Arabidopsis thaliana: one gene and its partners. The protein of the gene in region 1 interacts with the protein of each later gene in a pairwise test. Each region holds a gene or a part of one and is shown in the gene's direction. Other genes may lie near its edges.

What was found.
Region 2: the proteins of HAM4 (region 1) and AT5G25790 interact in a two-hybrid assay, tested with the Arabidopsis thaliana proteins (one large-scale study listed by BioGRID).
Region 3: the proteins of HAM4 (region 1) and PYE interact in a two-hybrid assay, tested with the Arabidopsis thaliana proteins (one large-scale study listed by BioGRID).
Region 4: the proteins of HAM4 (region 1) and AT1G33760 interact in a two-hybrid assay, tested with the Arabidopsis thaliana proteins (one large-scale study listed by BioGRID).

Annotation. Positions count from the first base shown.
Region 1 is NC_003075.7:17,304,075-17,308,187, forward strand, and holds HAM4 (GRAS family transcription factor), read left to right. Parts: upstream 1-1,683; 5' UTR 1,684-1,985; coding exon 1,986-3,446; 3' UTR 3,447-3,574; downstream 3,575-4,113. Other genes in the region: HVA22K (HVA22-like protein K), read left to right, coding at 3,695-3,757, 4,043-4,101.
Region 2 is NC_003076.8:8,976,547-8,981,212, reverse strand, and holds AT5G25790 (Tesmin/TSO1-like CXC domain-containing protein), read left to right. Parts: upstream 1-1,923; 5' UTR 1,924-2,031; coding exon 2,032-2,240; intron 2,241-2,322; coding exon 2,323-2,433; intron 2,434-2,506; coding exon 2,507-2,684; intron 2,685-2,755; coding exon 2,756-3,097; intron 3,098-3,190; coding exon 3,191-3,279; intron 3,280-3,358; coding exon 3,359-3,453; intron 3,454-3,547; coding exon 3,548-4,038; 3' UTR 4,039-4,156; downstream 4,157-4,666. Other genes in the region: AT5G25800 (Polynucleotidyl transferase, ribonuclease H-like superfamily protein), read left to right, coding at 5-60, 150-210, 314-581, 677-858, 944-1,230, 1,329-1,452; EIF3B-2 (eukaryotic translation initiation factor 3B-2), read left to right, coding at 4,455-4,567. UniProt on the Arabidopsis thaliana protein: Plays a role in development of both male and female reproductive tissues.
Region 3 is NC_003074.8:17,565,306-17,569,961, forward strand, and holds PYE (basic helix-loop-helix (bHLH) DNA-binding superfamily protein), read left to right. Parts: upstream 1-1,820; 5' UTR 1,821-1,897; exon of another isoform or gene 1,898-1,899; intron 1,900-2,170; exon of another isoform or gene 2,171-2,388; intron 2,389-2,540; 5' UTR 2,541-2,572; intron 2,573-2,689; 5' UTR 2,690-2,729; coding exon 2,730-2,788; intron 2,789-2,878; coding exon 2,879-2,982; intron 2,983-3,090; coding exon 3,091-3,218; intron 3,219-3,364; coding exon 3,365-3,796; 3' UTR 3,797-4,080; downstream 4,081-4,656. Other genes in the region: AT3G47650 (DnaJ/Hsp40 cysteine-rich domain superfamily protein), read left to right, coding at 4,271-4,438, 4,534-4,600.
Region 4 is NC_003070.9:12,235,749-12,239,253, forward strand, and holds AT1G33760 (Integrase-type DNA-binding superfamily protein), read left to right. Parts: upstream 1-1,798; 5' UTR 1,799-2,195; coding exon 2,196-2,750; 3' UTR 2,751-2,962; downstream 2,963-3,505. Other genes in the region: AT1G33750 (Terpenoid cyclases/Protein prenyltransferases superfamily protein), read left to right, coding at 58-600.

The DNA of each region.
Region 1 (4,113 bases):
GAATATTAAACTTGATTATTTCTCTTAAATTTTTAAAACATAACAGAAATGTGGGCTTAATCATTAATTTAATGAGAAACAACTAAAAAAAGTTGCCACAAAAAGAACTTTTAGTATTTTAGTGTGTTAATTGAGCCGCTATACCGCATAAAATCTAAATTATATAACACAGATGAAGACTTATGTAAGAAAAAAAGTTGAATTATGTTAGGAAAAAGGTGTATTAATGAGAGGAACCTTTTCTCCACGATATTAAAGGTTGAATAATGTCTCAATGAGAAGAAGCTTTTCTTCACGAGAACTATATGATGTTTAAATTTCGCAAACTAGGCCATATTTTGCGAAAATGGTGAGTTATTAACCTAATATGATCAAACATTCCTAATTACACAAGGAAAAAAAAAAGAGAGTATATTCAAAAGATTGAGGAAATGGTTTTGCATTCTGGTACACCAAACCAAATAGAAAAGAAAGAAAACAAAAAAGGAAGGTAAATTTCCATGAAAATGAAAGCAATAAGTGAAGGAGAGAACATATTCTTTCTTTTTCCTTTGCGAGTTAGAGAGAAGAGTGGGGGGCTAAGCAAAAGAAAGAAGTGGGCGTGATTCTTACGCGCTGACTTAATGATCAGTCAATCTCTGGCCCATGGGCTTCTCGGTCATTTTCTCCGACATTATTACCTCAAAAGTTAGCCCATTGTGGACCCGCTTACTTTCCCCCTGCTTTTTACCGTGTTATGTGGGCTCCACATAAAGCCCAGTGGTCACTCCCTTTTTCCTTTCCTTTGTTTTTTGTCGCAAGCAGCGGGGATTAGTGTCCGTTAAACATCATCGACTCAAATTGTTTCATGCAATTTTCCCCTTTTTTATTGGTTATCAATCGAATAAACCTCTCTAGCTTTTGTAACTAGTTTGAGATTATTATGTGATATATGCACGGTACTAAATAAATACATAATATTGTATTTTGTGTGGTACTAACAACTAGGTTTAGTGAGAATAAAAACGACGTTGTAGAGTTTGTTTAGTAAGAATATTTTTGTCCAACACAAACTACTTTTAAAAAAAAATTCCAAACGTTGATATACCTATTGCCTATTGGAATAATCAACGCAGATTCATAGTTTTTTATTTATCTCCATACTTGGGTCAAAAACGTATGAGATTTAATGATCGAAAACAATATCCACAAATATGAAATATTTTAACGCTGATCTCAAACTCAGGTACAACATAGTTACATATAGCCGTGCTGCTATGTTTGAGAAAGATTATTTTTGATCACTTAAATTGTCATATGTAATAAAAAAAAACTTTCAGTTAAATGTTTTTGTAAAATACTGTTTAAAATTTTAGGATGAAAAAGACTGAAAAAAAACCACTCAGACAAAAAAAAGAGAGAAATCATTAACCTTTTTAAAACATCCTTTTTCTCTTTTATTTTCAACTTTCACATTCTTGATGATCAACATAGTGGAGCTTGGATCTCTTTTCAATCAAATGATTTATTTTTATTTTTAAAGCAGAGGAACTTTATTTGTATTTTATCCCTTTAAAGAGCTGTAGAAGTTTCCTTTTCATTAGCTACAGAAGTTGCTAGTTGTGCATAGTATATAGTTTTGGAGATATATTATGAGAAATTAATACAAAATAAAAACTGATTTAAAATCTTTCAGTTGAATTTCATGTGAAATAGTATGTTATTAATAAAAAACGGAATCATATACAAATCATTGTCAATCAGATTGTTTCGTGTATAAATATTATTCTGTAAAACCAAACAAACCCGGATCAGACACGGTTACCAAAGTTGAAATCTCTTTATTTGCACGCACTCACTCAAAGATAAAAAGCTTACCACTCTCACCTTTCAAAAGCCCCGCCACCTTCTTCTTCTCCCACACACAAAGAAAAAAGACAGAAAGAAAAAAACTTTTTTTCTTTTCGTTAAAGGCTCCACCTTTCTTTCTTCTTAACACACAACACATGAAAATCCCTGCATCATCTCCTCAAGACACGACCAACAACAACAACAACACTAATAGTACTGATAGTAATCACTTATCAATGGACGAACATGTCATGCGTTCAATGGATTGGGATTCCATCATGAAAGAATTGGAGCTTGATGACGATTCTGCTCCTAACTCACTTAAAACCGGTTTCACCACAACCACAACAGATTCTACTATTTTGCCTCTTTACGCCGTCGATTCAAATCTCCCTGGCTTTCCCGATCAGATTCAACCGTCGGATTTCGAATCGTCTTCCGATGTTTATCCTGGTCAGAACCAAACAACTGGGTACGGTTTTAATTCTCTTGATAGTGTCGACAATGGAGGATTTGATTTCATTGAAGATCTCATCCGAGTCGTGGATTGTGTTGAATCGGACGAGTTACAACTCGCTCAGGTGGTTTTATCACGGCTTAATCAACGCTTGAGATCTCCGGCGGGTAGACCGTTACAGAGAGCTGCGTTTTACTTTAAGGAAGCTCTCGGTTCGTTTTTAACCGGATCAAACCGGAATCCAATCCGGTTATCTTCTTGGTCCGAGATTGTTCAGAGGATCCGAGCGATTAAGGAATATTCCGGGATTTCTCCGATCCCTCTCTTCTCTCATTTCACGGCGAATCAAGCGATACTCGATTCGTTGAGCTCGCAGTCGTCTTCTCCGTTTGTTCACGTGGTGGATTTTGAGATTGGATTCGGTGGCCAATACGCATCGCTTATGAGAGAAATCACTGAGAAATCTGTAAGCGGTGGATTTTTAAGAGTTACGGCAGTGGTGGCGGAGGAGTGCGCCGTAGAGACGCGACTAGTGAAAGAAAACCTAACTCAATTCGCGGCGGAGATGAAAATTCGTTTCCAGATTGAGTTTGTGCTGATGAAGACTTTTGAGATGTTATCTTTCAAAGCGATTAGGTTTGTTGAGGGGGAGAGGACCGTCGTTTTGATTTCCCCGGCGATATTTCGTCGTCTAAGTGGAATCACTGATTTTGTTAACAATTTACGGAGAGTATCACCTAAGGTCGTTGTATTCGTGGATAGTGAAGGATGGACGGAGATCGCCGGATCTGGATCATTCCGGCGAGAGTTTGTTAGCGCTCTTGAGTTCTACACGATGGTGCTGGAGTCGCTCGACGCTGCAGCTCCTCCCGGAGATTTGGTGAAGAAGATAGTGGAAGCGTTCGTTCTACGACCGAAGATCTCCGCTGCGGTAGAAACGGCGGCTGACAGGAGACACACCGGCGAAATGACTTGGCGGGAAGCGTTTTGCGCCGCCGGGATGAGGCCGATACAGCTAAGCCAGTTCGCCGACTTTCAAGCTGAGTGTTTATTGGAGAAAGCGCAAGTTAGAGGATTCCACGTGGCGAAACGACAAGGAGAATTGGTGCTGTGCTGGCATGGAAGAGCACTTGTTGCCACATCAGCTTGGCGGTTTTAGATAAACCGGGTTTGGTTTAACAATATGATATAGAATAGAATAATTGTATTTACCGCCTTTAATATCTCTTTTCTTTTTGCTGTTTATCTTTCAAATAAAGAAATAAAAATATTTCTTACGAAGAGTCTCTGTATGAGCTAGAGTCTTTTAATGATTCATAATCTCCTCTATTCAAAACACAAGTGACCTTTTTTTTGCGAGTGTGCGAGTTCGTCGTCAATTTGGTAAAACCGTCGTACGAATCGCCGATGAGCGGGTTTGCTTCACAGATTCCATCCATGGCGCTTCTTGGATCTGGACTCACCGGCGAGGTAATCTTCCTTTAGTTTGATTGATGTTTCCGATTGTACGGCTTTTGTTCCGATCCGTGATTTGGGGATTCGTGATAAAGTTTATGATTAAATATGTATATTTAGGATTCCTTCATCTTCTGCCTTGTTGGAATTCAGATTTCTTCTGTACTGGATTGTTTTTTTGTTTGGATTACTCTTTGACAAAAGCCGATTAGAGAAAGAGGTGTTTCAATTCCTGATCATGTGGATATTCTCAACTTTTGGATTGAGAGAAACAATTGTTTTTCTCAATGGAATTTTCAGGTTGGGTTGCGTGTATTGTTCTCTCCACTTAGTTCCAATATCGTACTTCGTACAGCATGGTGAGTTTTTTT
Region 2 (4,666 bases), on another chromosome or scaffold:
GCAGGTTCTATTAGATAAATTAGTCATGCCAACAAATCCTATTACTGATTACAACACAAGGTAAGCCATGCTAATAATTTTTTATTCTGTTTCTAGTACCTCTTAAAAGGTATATGCCTAAAAAACACAGTATTGGTATCGGTTTGCAGATATAGTGGAATAACAGCTGTGATGATGGAGGGAGTTACAACAACACTTAAAGATATTCAGGTTTCACTATTTCCTTTATAACGTCTTATTAGATACTGATTAGGATGTTTGAAATGAAGACTCGTAATGGTCTAGTATAATTAGAGTCGTTTGCTATGTTCAGGAAGAGTTCTTAAAGCTGGTTTTCAAAGAGACCATATTAGTCGGACACTCCTTGGAAAATGACTTGTTGTCTTTGAAGATCTCTCATAATCTGGTGATTGACACTGCAGTACTATACAAGCATCCACATGGAAGATCTTATAAAACTAAACTTCGAATTCTAGCAAAAAAGTTTCTTGCTAGAGAGATACAGGAGTCTGAATCCGGACATGACAGCGCAGAGGATGCAAAAGCAGCCATGGATTTGGCACTATTGAAGATAAAACATGGCAAGAACTTTCTATCCTTAACCTCGCTATTTAACTCTTGTTTTTATTTTCTATGTATCCTTTTTTAAGTGATTTTCTTTTCTGGCTTCCTCTAGGACCTGATTTTGGTTCACCACCGGAAGTGATAAGAAAAAAGCTCCTCGCCGTTTTAAATGAGAGCGGGAAAACGACTTCTATAATTGACAATATCAACATCGTGAAGCGATATGCTTCTGAGTCATCAAATGCAATTCCAGTTTCGTCTGACGACGAAGCACTTTCAAAGGCCGTGAAGGAGGTAAAAACTTCTGAATCCATTTTTATGCCTCTGTATTTCTCGCCAGCTACATAAAAGTAAAATGTATGTGTGTGTACGCTTCTAGGTAAAGAACAAGCGGTCTCAATTCGTTTGGACACAGTTCTCAGAATTGAATGCACATTTCCAGAGCAGAGCGGATGATCCACAGAAACTAAACTCCAGACTAGCCGAGATGATCTCATTGCTTACATGTAACAAAAAGTCCGGCCTTAAGAAAAGCAATGTCTCACCTGAAACAAAGGAAATCTTAAAGAAAATGAATGAAAGAGTCCAATCCCTTTATGCTGCATTACCTACAAATGCGATGTTTATAGTTTGCACCGGACACGGAGACACATCCATTGTACACAGGTTTGTAGCACTCTATCCAAATCGTAAGTGTTTAGACATTCAAATCTCTTCTGGATTTGGAATCTGATTGGATTTTCTTACTTTCTTGCAATATGAAGAGTGCGGAAAATGCTTAAAGATGAGGATGAAATCGGGTTTGACCGTGAGAAACTTGTCAAGGTTCTTGAAGAGCTTCAAGCACAAGCCGAAGTAGCTCTCTGTTTTGTAGGTATCAAGCAATAAACTTAAACAGAAAGCCAAATTTTTTCCCTTGTATACCATATGAGCAACAAGAAACTCACAATTCAGTATTGTATTTTTTGGTAATATTGGTTTGTAGCATCTATTAATGGCGATTTTCATATAGTAAAAAGAGTTGACATTTCAAGTTTGTTTACAGTAATAAAAAGGTAAAAAAAACGGCCAATTCCAGCATGAATTTACAGAAAATAAATCCAAAACAAATATAAAATTTAAATTCGGAAAAACCTTAACCGGTCGGTTATCATAAACCAAGGAAAAAAAAAAACAATACCACCGCACGTGTAAAACACTCGGAGTCTCTCTCCTTTAGCGCCAAATTCCGCTCGTATCCTCTAAAAACCTAGATCGATCTTAATCAAACGATCTAAACCGTCGATTAACCCCTTTTCATCTCAACCGTTAGATTTTGTTGATCAAACTCTCATCAAAATTCAATTTTTTGATTTTTCAAAAAGATCTCAAAGAGACGACGACGAAGCAAAAGAAGAAGAAGAAGAAGAGAGAGCTATTCAAGCTTAAAGCATAAAACAATCTCTGCTCCTTATATAGTTCTTCACTATGGAAGATTTGAGTAATCAGAATCTCCTCCCGCGTCAATCAGATATCTCCATCCCTGCGGAGAAGATGGATTCGTTTCAAAAGTCGCTAGAACCTCCGCCGTGTTCTCCGGTGAAATCTTCTCAACAATCAGAAACGGAAGTCACACCGCCTCAGAAACCACCGCTTCACCAATTTGGTCACAACCAAGTTCAGAAGAATCGAGTGAGGTAAAAATTGGTTAATTTCTCTGTTCCATCAAATCTATTTCAATCTTAAGGAATTAGCATTTTTGATTGTTTGATTATGTAGCAATCAAGATCCATCGACCTCACGAAGACATAATGAAGTTGAATCGAAAGAGAATACTCCAAATAAACAACAAAAACATTGCAATTGCAAAAACTCAAAGTGTTTGAAACTGTAAGTATCTATTTTTGTTAATAGAGTTTAAAAACATATTTTTGTTTATACAGAGTCTTGTTGATCTATATAGGTATTGTGAATGCTTTGCTTCTGGATCTTATTGTAATGGTTGTAACTGTGTGAATTGTCACAACAAATTGGAGAATGAGTCTTCGAGACAAGTAGCTATCTCGGGGATCTTAGAGCGTAACCCTGATGCGTTTAAGCCCAAGATTGCTGGTAGTCCTCATGGAATGAAAGATTTGCAGGTTTGTGATCTTGTTACTTGAAAAAAAAAAGATGTAACTTTAGGGCTTGATGGTAGTTTTATAACTTGTAGGAGAATGTGCAGCAAGTGTTGCTTATTGGAAAGCACAGCAAAGGATGCCACTGCAGGAAATCAGGATGTCTCAAGAAGTACTGTGAGTGTTACCAGGCGAATATTCTATGTTCGGAGAATTGTAGATGTCAAGACTGCAAGAACTTTGAAGGAAGCGAAGAAAGAAAAGCTCTTCTTCATGGATCTCAGGTCTCGGATACCTACATACAACAGATGACCAATGCGGCTGTTAACCGTGCCATCGACATGTCTGCTTATCTGTACCCTCCTGAATCAAGAAAGAGAAAGAGCAAGGACATTTCAGATTCTGTAGTTTCATCATACGGTGTCCAATACCAGAGGGTAAATAGTACAATTCTGTGTTGATCTCATGGTCTTTAGCTTCAGTTTTTGCATTGAAAGCATAATTCTTTGTGTTTTTCTATTTCCAATTAGGCAAACCACGTTAGAAGAAATGGTGAAAATTCTCTATTTTCACTCCCTAACAACAAGGCCGTGTCCGGATCTACCACAAGTGCTTACAGGTTGGAAATATCAAACTCATCTTCTCTATGATATTGCCTATTTGAAACTACCGTGATACCTGACTAATGGCTTCTATAGGTCTTCTTGGTCAAATACATTCCAACCACATCATGTCAGAGAGCTATGTTCACTTTTGGTCTCAAACTCGGTTGATGTAGCAAATAAATTGTCAGGTACATATCATGCCGTTAGATGTACAAGATGATAGGTTAACGTTCCTCATATAATAAGGTCTTTGATAAGAGAATGTTTGTTATGGTGAAACAGACAAAGGGAGGAAGAACGACAAAGGCCCTTCTTCACTTGATGGAGCCCAAAGAGTTGCTAATGAGATCAATGACTCACCAGATTGTGTCCTTGATGCTAATAGAATGGACGAGAAGCCTATATCTCCCGCAACACGTGCATTGATGTGTGACGAAGAACATGAGATCGGGTCAGAGAAAGAGACATCGGCCCGAGTGAAAACAAGCCAAGAGAAAGAAGACACAGACACAAGCTCGGGGATTTACTTAGAGCAAGAAAGACAGATATTGTCAATCTTCAGGGACTATCTCATTCAGCTCTCAAACCGTGCGAGGATAAATGGTAACCTTGATATCGTATCCTTGTTCAGATATTTACAAGTAGAGGATTGTGCTAATTTAAGACATTATTTTAAGCAGGTAAAAATATCAAAAGCAACACAAATCCAAGTTGAAAGAAACCAGAAGATGAAGAACAAAGCCATCGAGACTCAAATTAGGGACATTGCTTAGGGAATTTTTTTGATTTTTTTTTTAGGATCATACTCATTTTTAACATATGATCCATGTCACATTTTAAAAAAATAATTAGGAAGATTAGACATAATTAAAATTTAAAAATGGTTTGAAGTTTATGAGTGAAAATTGTCACTACTATATCGCAAAACAGAGAATCGAAGATAATGGGCTTTGCATCGTTGTTTAGTTGATAATGGGCTTTGGAATAATAAAGGTCCAATCAAATTACATGACCCGACCCGACCCGTCCGAGAAAAATATTCTGTCTTCTTCATCAATCAACGGTTTAAGACTTAACACTGCAAACAAAACTCAAAACCCTAGGCACACACTCTCTCTCTCTCTCTATCCTCAAAGCTTCTTCTTCCTCGATATCGATTGAGAGAAACTTCGTTCTAAGATTCGAAATCATGGCGGCGGTTGTTGATATTGATGTCCTAACAGCTCAGTTAGGGATTAATTGGTCAGATGTTAATCTCGATTCAATCCAACTTCCTCCTGGAAACGACTTTGGGATCGAAAGGTGAGATTTTTTCCATTACATCTCTGCTTCTATTAGAATCTTCGTTTCAAATCTGAGAAATCGCTTAGTATTTTGAACTGATTGCGTTGATTTGTTTCT
Region 3 (4,656 bases), on another chromosome or scaffold:
CATTTGATCATTTTGATTTCAGATTGACACAAACCTTGGAAAAAAGGAGAGGAACGAAGCCAGAGGAGGAATTAGGAAGCGTTAGTTGATTTAAGAGGGGAATTGAAGAAGCTTACCTGCGACTGCGAGTGAAGGCGGCGAAGAGCGAGGAAGAACAACAAACGCCGTGAAGCTAGCTTTTTTGGGTTTGGGCCAAACGAGATTAGTTTCTAACAGATGTTTTTCCGGACCCGGACCGGTAATACCCACGATCCGCTTAATTATTTGGTCCCTGTCTAGCTCTAAAATCCCGGTGCAAACGAACCGGCAAAACCAACGACCTAGCGGTTCGGTATTTTGTTTCTGAAATCTGAACCCTCCGATTTGTTCTTCTTTTTTTTTTTCTTTTTATAATGCAAACAATTGATGAAAAAATATATTATGGTCCGAATGGTAACCTCGGTTTTTAATATGTGAGAAAAGTGGTATAACATTGCAGTACAGTTCAATTACGGTACGTGCGAGAAAAATATATTTGCGGGACAAATATGGTTTGTACAAAATAAGCGGTACAGAATAATGTTTGATTGATGAAAAAATTATTTGCGGTGCGGATTATAAATTATATATATATATATATATTAATAATTAATTATTATTTTTGTGTTAATAAATAAGCAATAACATATATTTATAAATTATTAATACATAAATAAATCAAAATATACATTTTTAAAGTTTAACATACATATTATTAAATTCGTTGAATAGTTTCATCATAAAAAATTGAAAAAAAAATCATAATTTTTTACTAGTAAATTGATTATAGAACTTATATAAGCTTATAGTGGATAATAATTGTCAAAATTTCTATAAGTATTATGATATTTCTATTTCTTGTAATTACATTTTCTTAGATTTTAATTAAATAAAAAGAATAAAACTATAATTATTGCATATATATATATATATATATATATATATATATATATATATTAAAGTCCATTAGTTAAGCAAATTGTTATGTCCTACGTATATTTTTTTCTTTTATGCACTAGGTAACTAGTGATTCTGATGCACACATATACTCTCTTTTTTTGTACATATATTTAAATGGGGAAGCTAATGGAAAAAAAATTAAAATTTGCTTAAGTAATGGAGTAATAAACGAGGGATGTGTGTATGGAAGAGGCAAAGGCTGAGAAACTTTTGGTTGGGACGTAGGACATAACAATTTGCTTAAGTAATGGAGTAATGAACGATTTTTTTGTTGGAATGCGGTTTTGAGCAAAAACACTAGGTAAATGATTTTTCTTCTTTTGAAAAGCATTCCAGTGTATTGTTTTTAGGACAAAATTGCAAACTTTTTTCTTTTTTTTTTCGAAAAACGCAAATTTGTTAAAAGTATTGATTGGTAACTGTATTGTAGTTTTAATAAAAAAACAAGAAAACGCCTTTTGTATGTTTCTTAATCACAGTGTATGAATGGTGACATAGACCGCCCCCAAAACCGTACCGTAACTGTAACAGTATAAAAAATCTCTATATATACATATATATCTATGTATTTTTGTTATTATTTGAACCGTCCCATACTTTTTCCGTATCACAAAATACAGTCATCATTCGAACCGCAAAACTATATATAGTATTTCGGTTTTTGAATTCAAAATGAAGGAGAAGAGGAATAGGCAGATTAATATAATTTCGTTATTTCTTTTTAATTTCCTATCTTCAATTTTTCCTCACCCACTGAATTTGACTATGCCATTAAAAATGTGTATACTAATCATCATACCGTCAATAAATAGAGTTTGTGGGAAACACACGACAGACACGTCATCAGCTCTCGACGGCGCGTTTCCATGCCTTTATTATCCTTCACGTTGACCCCACATGCCCCTGTTTTTTTTTTTTGGTGTTCTACGGTATATTTTTGTGAAAATGTTACTTTTCATCTACTCGATAAAATTCTTAAACAGATAGTACAACTTTTTACCCGATTAATCTGTAGAAAATACAATGTTATTTACACTCAACAAACATTTCCATTAATAGAACTTTACCCGATTTAAACCACTCTTCCACTCGATTAATATTATTATTTTATTAATTAAAGATACGATGACGTGTCCATGAGAGATGAGCTTTAGTGGCACGCAACGTAAGAGAAGAAGACAAAAGTAAAAAAGAGAAAGGCACATGTCGAACTCACGTGTCCACTTAAACGCACCACCTTCTTCTGTGCTCTCCACGCGCCTCCACACGCCCTCCTCAACTTCGGACCTTCTTCCTCCAAAAAAAACAATTTCACTCTTCATTTTCTCAGATTCTCTTATTATTTCTTCTACTCGTTTCGAATCCTAATCGTCTACAGTTTCCGACGAGATTCTCACCGGAGAAAGAAAGGTAGTTCTTTTCTCTGAATCTGTTGTGTTGAGAACTTAGCCGTAATTTTTGAGAATTATTCTTCACTATTTGATTTGACAAGAATATGGGTAATAAAGACAGAATCTAAAACACTTGCTTCAGTTTTTGAGGAATCAAAAATCACACGAAAGTTTTTTTTTTTTTTCTGCTCCTATGTTTCTTGGTGCGTTTGTGTTTATTTGACATTAGGAGTGATTGATTGATTATAAAGATGAATGATTTGTTAGATTCATTAAGATCACTGTTCTTTTTGATTAATCATCTTATGTCTAAATTTTAGGTGACTTGACAGAGAATCTTGTTCTGTAATAAAAGCAAAGATGGTATCGAAAACTCCTTCTACATCGTCTGATGAAGCAAATGCTACTGCAGATGAAAGGTGATTCTTAAGGAGACAATTCTTGGAAATAGATTATGGAACCTTTTATTTTTATTTATGGGGATTGATTATGTTTGGTGTATAAAACAGATGTAGAAAAGGTAAAGTACCGAAAAGGATCAACAAGGCCGTTCGTGAGAGGCTTAAGCGTGAGCATTTGAATGAGCTTTTCATTGAATTAGCCGATACTCTTGGTAAATTTCTCATCTTTCCGTAGATTTGAATGAACAATTGCTCGAGTGTGTTGTGATATTTTGAATGTGATTGTGATATCTAACTGTGAACATGTTTCTTTGTTGCAGAACTGAATCAACAGAACAGTGGGAAAGCTTCTATACTATGCGAAGCTACTCGATTCTTGAAGGACGTGTTTGGTCAAATTGAGTCTCTTAGAAAGGAGCATGCTTCTCTCCTATCTGAATCTAGCTATGTAAGTCAATTTCTATATGCACATTGATTGTGTTTATGTATTCTGTGACGTGAATCAACAACTAAGACGAATGTTGCTTCAAGAAGTTACTTCATCTTTGTATTTTTCTAAATGGTCTTGTTGATGGAAACTGGTGTTGTGTGTAGGTAACCACAGAGAAGAATGAGCTCAAGGAAGAAACATCAGTGCTTGAGACTGAGATTTCGAAACTACAAAACGAGATTGAAGCTAGAGCGAATCAGTCGAAACCTGACTTGAACACCTCTCCTGCACCCGAGTACCATCATCATCATTATCAACAACAACATCCTGAACGTGTATCTCAGTTCCCAGGACTTCCCATTTTCCAAGGCCCCGGCTTTCAACAATCTGCTACAACTCTTCATCCTCCTGCAACAGTTCTTGTCCTTCCAATACAACCTGATCCCCAGACACAAGATATCTCAGAAATGACTCAAGCGCAGCAGCCTTTGATGTTTAATAGCTCAAATGTGAGTAAGCCATGTCCAAGGTATGCTAGCGCGGCTGACTCGTGGTCTTCTCGGCTACTTGGAGAGCGGCTGAAAGCCAGTGAATGAGGTCTTGAACGGCTCCACATGGAGTAGCAACGCAAGTTATAAGACATGGCAACTTATGAAGGACTCTGGTTTTGTATTTTTTAATACATCGTTCTGATGTCCTTGTGGGTTTGGCCTTGGCTATTTCTTGTTTTTGATGGTTGTTCATAGGATCAGGAAGTTATGGCCTTGATGGGTCGTTTGAGATAAATAAGTAAATTAGCTCTAACCATTGTCATTTTCTTTTGTCTTAAGATTCTAAAAACACAGAAACAGAACAAAAAAAATCAAATTTCTTTTTAAGAAAAAAGCTTTCTAATGGAAACTAAAATGTGAAATTGGGTTTAAAAGACAAAACCGGTTAATAGGTTTTGGTTTGGATTGGATAAAGAATATGATGGTATTTTGGTAAAATAGGCACTTGAGAAAAAGAGAAGTGAGAGGAGCCATCTTATCTTTGCTATCGAGTGGGTAAGAAGAATCAGAAAACAGAAAATGGCGAATTCACTATGCTTCTTCTCTTCTCCTCCTACCTTTTGCTTCCAATCTCCAAGCAAAAACCCTAAACCTTCTCACTTCTTCTCAACTAATGATAACACCTCTTCCTTGGTACAGAAGAGAGAACTGCTTCAGACTTCAAGATCCCAAAGTTTTGAAGTTAAGGTTAGAATTTTCCCAAACTCTTCTCTTCTCTATAAAATTTGCTTACTTCATTGACCATTTCGTTAATGCAAAATCTCATTCTGTGGTATCAATAGGCCGCAAACAATAATCCTCAGGGCACTAAACCAAACAGTTTAGTTTGTGCAAATTGTGAAGGGGAAGGTAAGTTCTTACCTGTTTTATAATTCTCTTAGTTTTCTACTCCTGAATTGGTTAGT
Region 4 (3,505 bases), on another chromosome or scaffold:
GTTTTAATCAATGTCCATATAAATTAATGTTTGTGTTTAATATTGAGAATTTTGCAGATTAAGATCATGGGGAGAGCGTACGCTGAAATATCAAAATGGGCACGAGCAGGTCACGTTCCAACCTTTGATGACTATATTGAGCTTGGGCTTGACTCGTCAGGGATTAGATGCTTTGCAATGTACAGCTTTATATCGATGGAAGATTGTGAGGAGAATCAAACGAACGCGTGGTTCAAATCCAAACCCAAAATGTTACGAGCTTTAAGTGTTATATTTCGTCTTACAAACGACATAGCCGGCTTCGAGGAGGAGATGAGGAGAGGAGAAGTGGTTAATGGGGTGAACTGTTACGTTAAGCAACATAATGTTACCAAGGAATTGGCGGTTCGAGAAATTAAGAAGATGATTAGAGATAATTACAAGATAATGATGGAAGAGTTCTTGACGATAAAAAGTGTGTCACGTCCGATTCTGGTCCGGTGCTTCAACATTGTACGATTGGTCAATCTGTATTACGAGGAGGGTGATAATTTCACCAATCCCAATGGCAAGCTCAAAGATCTCATCACATCTTTGTTCTTCCATCCTCTTCCGCTTTGAAGACTTGGCTCCTTGCCGAAAAATTCATCTACATTTCTCTTTCCATTATTATTGATGATTGTTAATTTGCTCTATGCACATATTTTTCCATTAAATTTTAATTCCTGGGGTTTCAATTAGTTTTTACTATTTTAATTTATTTTGCATAGAAGTTTTTTTTATAACTTTCACTACCCACAACGACAAGGAAAGTTGACCAAAAGAATGAAATAATATCATAATTCATGTTTATATACGTTATACTATTCAATTCTTAATTCATGTTTATATACGTTAAACTATTCAATTCTTAATTATGTTTCTTTGCAAATAATATTAAATTACACACATGAGTTCTTGAACCAAGGAACGTATAAGTTCAAAAAATAGACTGGAAAGCAAAACTTTGTTATACTTGTTGAGTTCTTATGTAGGATCCAAATCTTGTAGATAAGCAACAATATATAATGGGCGGTGAGATTAAGACTGAAAGTATTTTTTTGACCACCGGATGGACCGTACGGATTTCCACAATTCGATACGGTGTGGTTGTTAGTGCCTTAGTGGCGGTGGTGACCATTATGCAGCCATTTAACTATTTAGGGTTGGAATTTGGCTCATGAGGTTTTACTACACATCAAGAAATTATTTGGAGACAGAGCATCGATCTTCTGCTGGTCGGGTTTTAGAATTTCATAAAATCAAATTTTGGTTAATTTAGATGGGTTTCTTTCCCCAATTCTTCGTTATGAACAATTCATTATTTTGGTCAACTTAATTGTCTATGACTCTATGGGCAGTTACATAATGTTACTATCATATTTGCTGTCAAGACTCTTGAGATATGGCATATATGGACTTTTGTACGAGAACCTAAAGTTCTAACCAACACATGATATAAAGGACTAATTGCTTTTCTTTTCATTTGGTCTTACAACAACAAAACACAATATACTACTTTGACTTAAAATAATTGATCTTTTATATGAAACACTAATTTATCTCAGTATGAACTATGAAATCTATTTCCTAGTTGAAAAGTTTAAATATTTTGAACTTTTTGATCAAGTTAAATATCTATAATCTAACTAAGGCCCAGAATATACCAAATATGAAATATATTTATCAAGGCCATGTCAATTTTCTTGGAAGGCATGTACAAAGTTTTTACTGAAAACATATTTGATGTGTAAAAAAATATTTCTAAAAAAATTTAGAACCCAAATCATATAAATATCAAACTTGTCTTCAATCAAAAAAATAATATTCAATCAGCGTTTTCTTTCAAATACACACAACACACTATTTGTACACGCTTAAAGACAGCTTTGCTAATGTACAATATCCATGTAAGTAATAGAGACCCATGCATGCATGACAGCATATTTCCACTTCACAAGTAACTACGTAGGAAGCTCACTTCACCTGAAACCAAACAAGCCATCCACAAATTCTATTCCCTCATTTATTGTCTTCTTTATTTCTCTATATATACAATTTCACTTAACCACTGACTCTATAACTCAAAACTTCTAAACTAATTCGCACAGTTCTATATACACTCACAAACACACACACACACAATATAGTGCTACTAAAATAACCTTGTATTAATTATGGAAAACACTTACGTTGGCCAACGAGATTACCGCTTCAACGTTAACCAGTTGTCCTACAGAGGCATTCGTCGGAGGAAATGGGGCAAATGGGTATCGGAGATCCGAGAACCCGGTAAGAAAACAAGGATTTGGCTTGGAAGCTACGAGACGGCCGAGATGGCTGCAGCGGCCTACGATGCTGCGGCTCTTCACCTCCGAGGACGTGGGACCAATCTCAACTTTCCGGAACTCGTCGACAGTTTTCCTCGGCCGGAAAGCTCTAGTTCGGAGCACATTCAAGCGGCTGCACAAGATGCAGCACTTATGTTTAAACCAGGTAGGTTGAGTGAACCAGCTCTCGAGTCTGGTCAAGGACTTTCTCGAGTAGGATTGTCTCCGGATCAGATTCAAGCGATTAATGAGTCTCCATTAGACTCGCCGAGGATGGGGTGGATGCAGGATTTGGAAGTTGCTGACTACGAAGAATTATACGGACAATTTTTTGGTCAGCACGATAGGGATGAGTTTTTTGAAATGCAGCAATTTCAGTCCATATGGAATTCTAATAATTGATATACGTTCGCTTAATTGCTTAACCATTTGATTTTTTTTTTAATAATGTCATATCATCAACCAAGGTTTTTCGATTATATTCAGTAAAGTATAATAAATTTTCGACCCTTACTGTTTTTCTTGGGTTCAATTTGTAATCTCTTAACAATGATGATGTCATAAATACCAATATGATTAATTCAAATTTTCAATATATATGTAATGTTTTGGTTCCTTGTCAGTCAGATAGTATCATATGGTTTATACGAGAAATAAATATAAACCAAGGAAAAAACTCAATCCAAGAAAAAAAAATGTTATCTTATAAAAACTTAGAAAAAAGGGTGGTTACCTTGTGCTTCGTCTTCGGTTTTCGTTGTGGTATTCGTTAAATTGGAATAAGACTAACTCCGAAAAATAGGTAAGATTATAGACCAAAAACCTGAAACTCCTATGGTTTATTAAAAACAAAATTATTTGATGAAAGTCCATTATGTAGACACATATAACCCATAATATATACACACGAGCTGACGTGCACGTACCAATTCGTACTATGGCCGCCTCAAAAGTACAGGTTTATTCCATATTATAGTGAGCATGAGTCCGTTGAAAAGCTTTGATTACCTAAAGATATACTATAATCAGTATCAATAACAACTGTTGCAGTCAATATTATATTAGTATGAAATGTTTTAATTGTCCCATACGTTCAGTTTTCTGTTAGGCCTAATTGCGTGAAATTATAAATTAAAGTTTTAATTAGATCATAATGT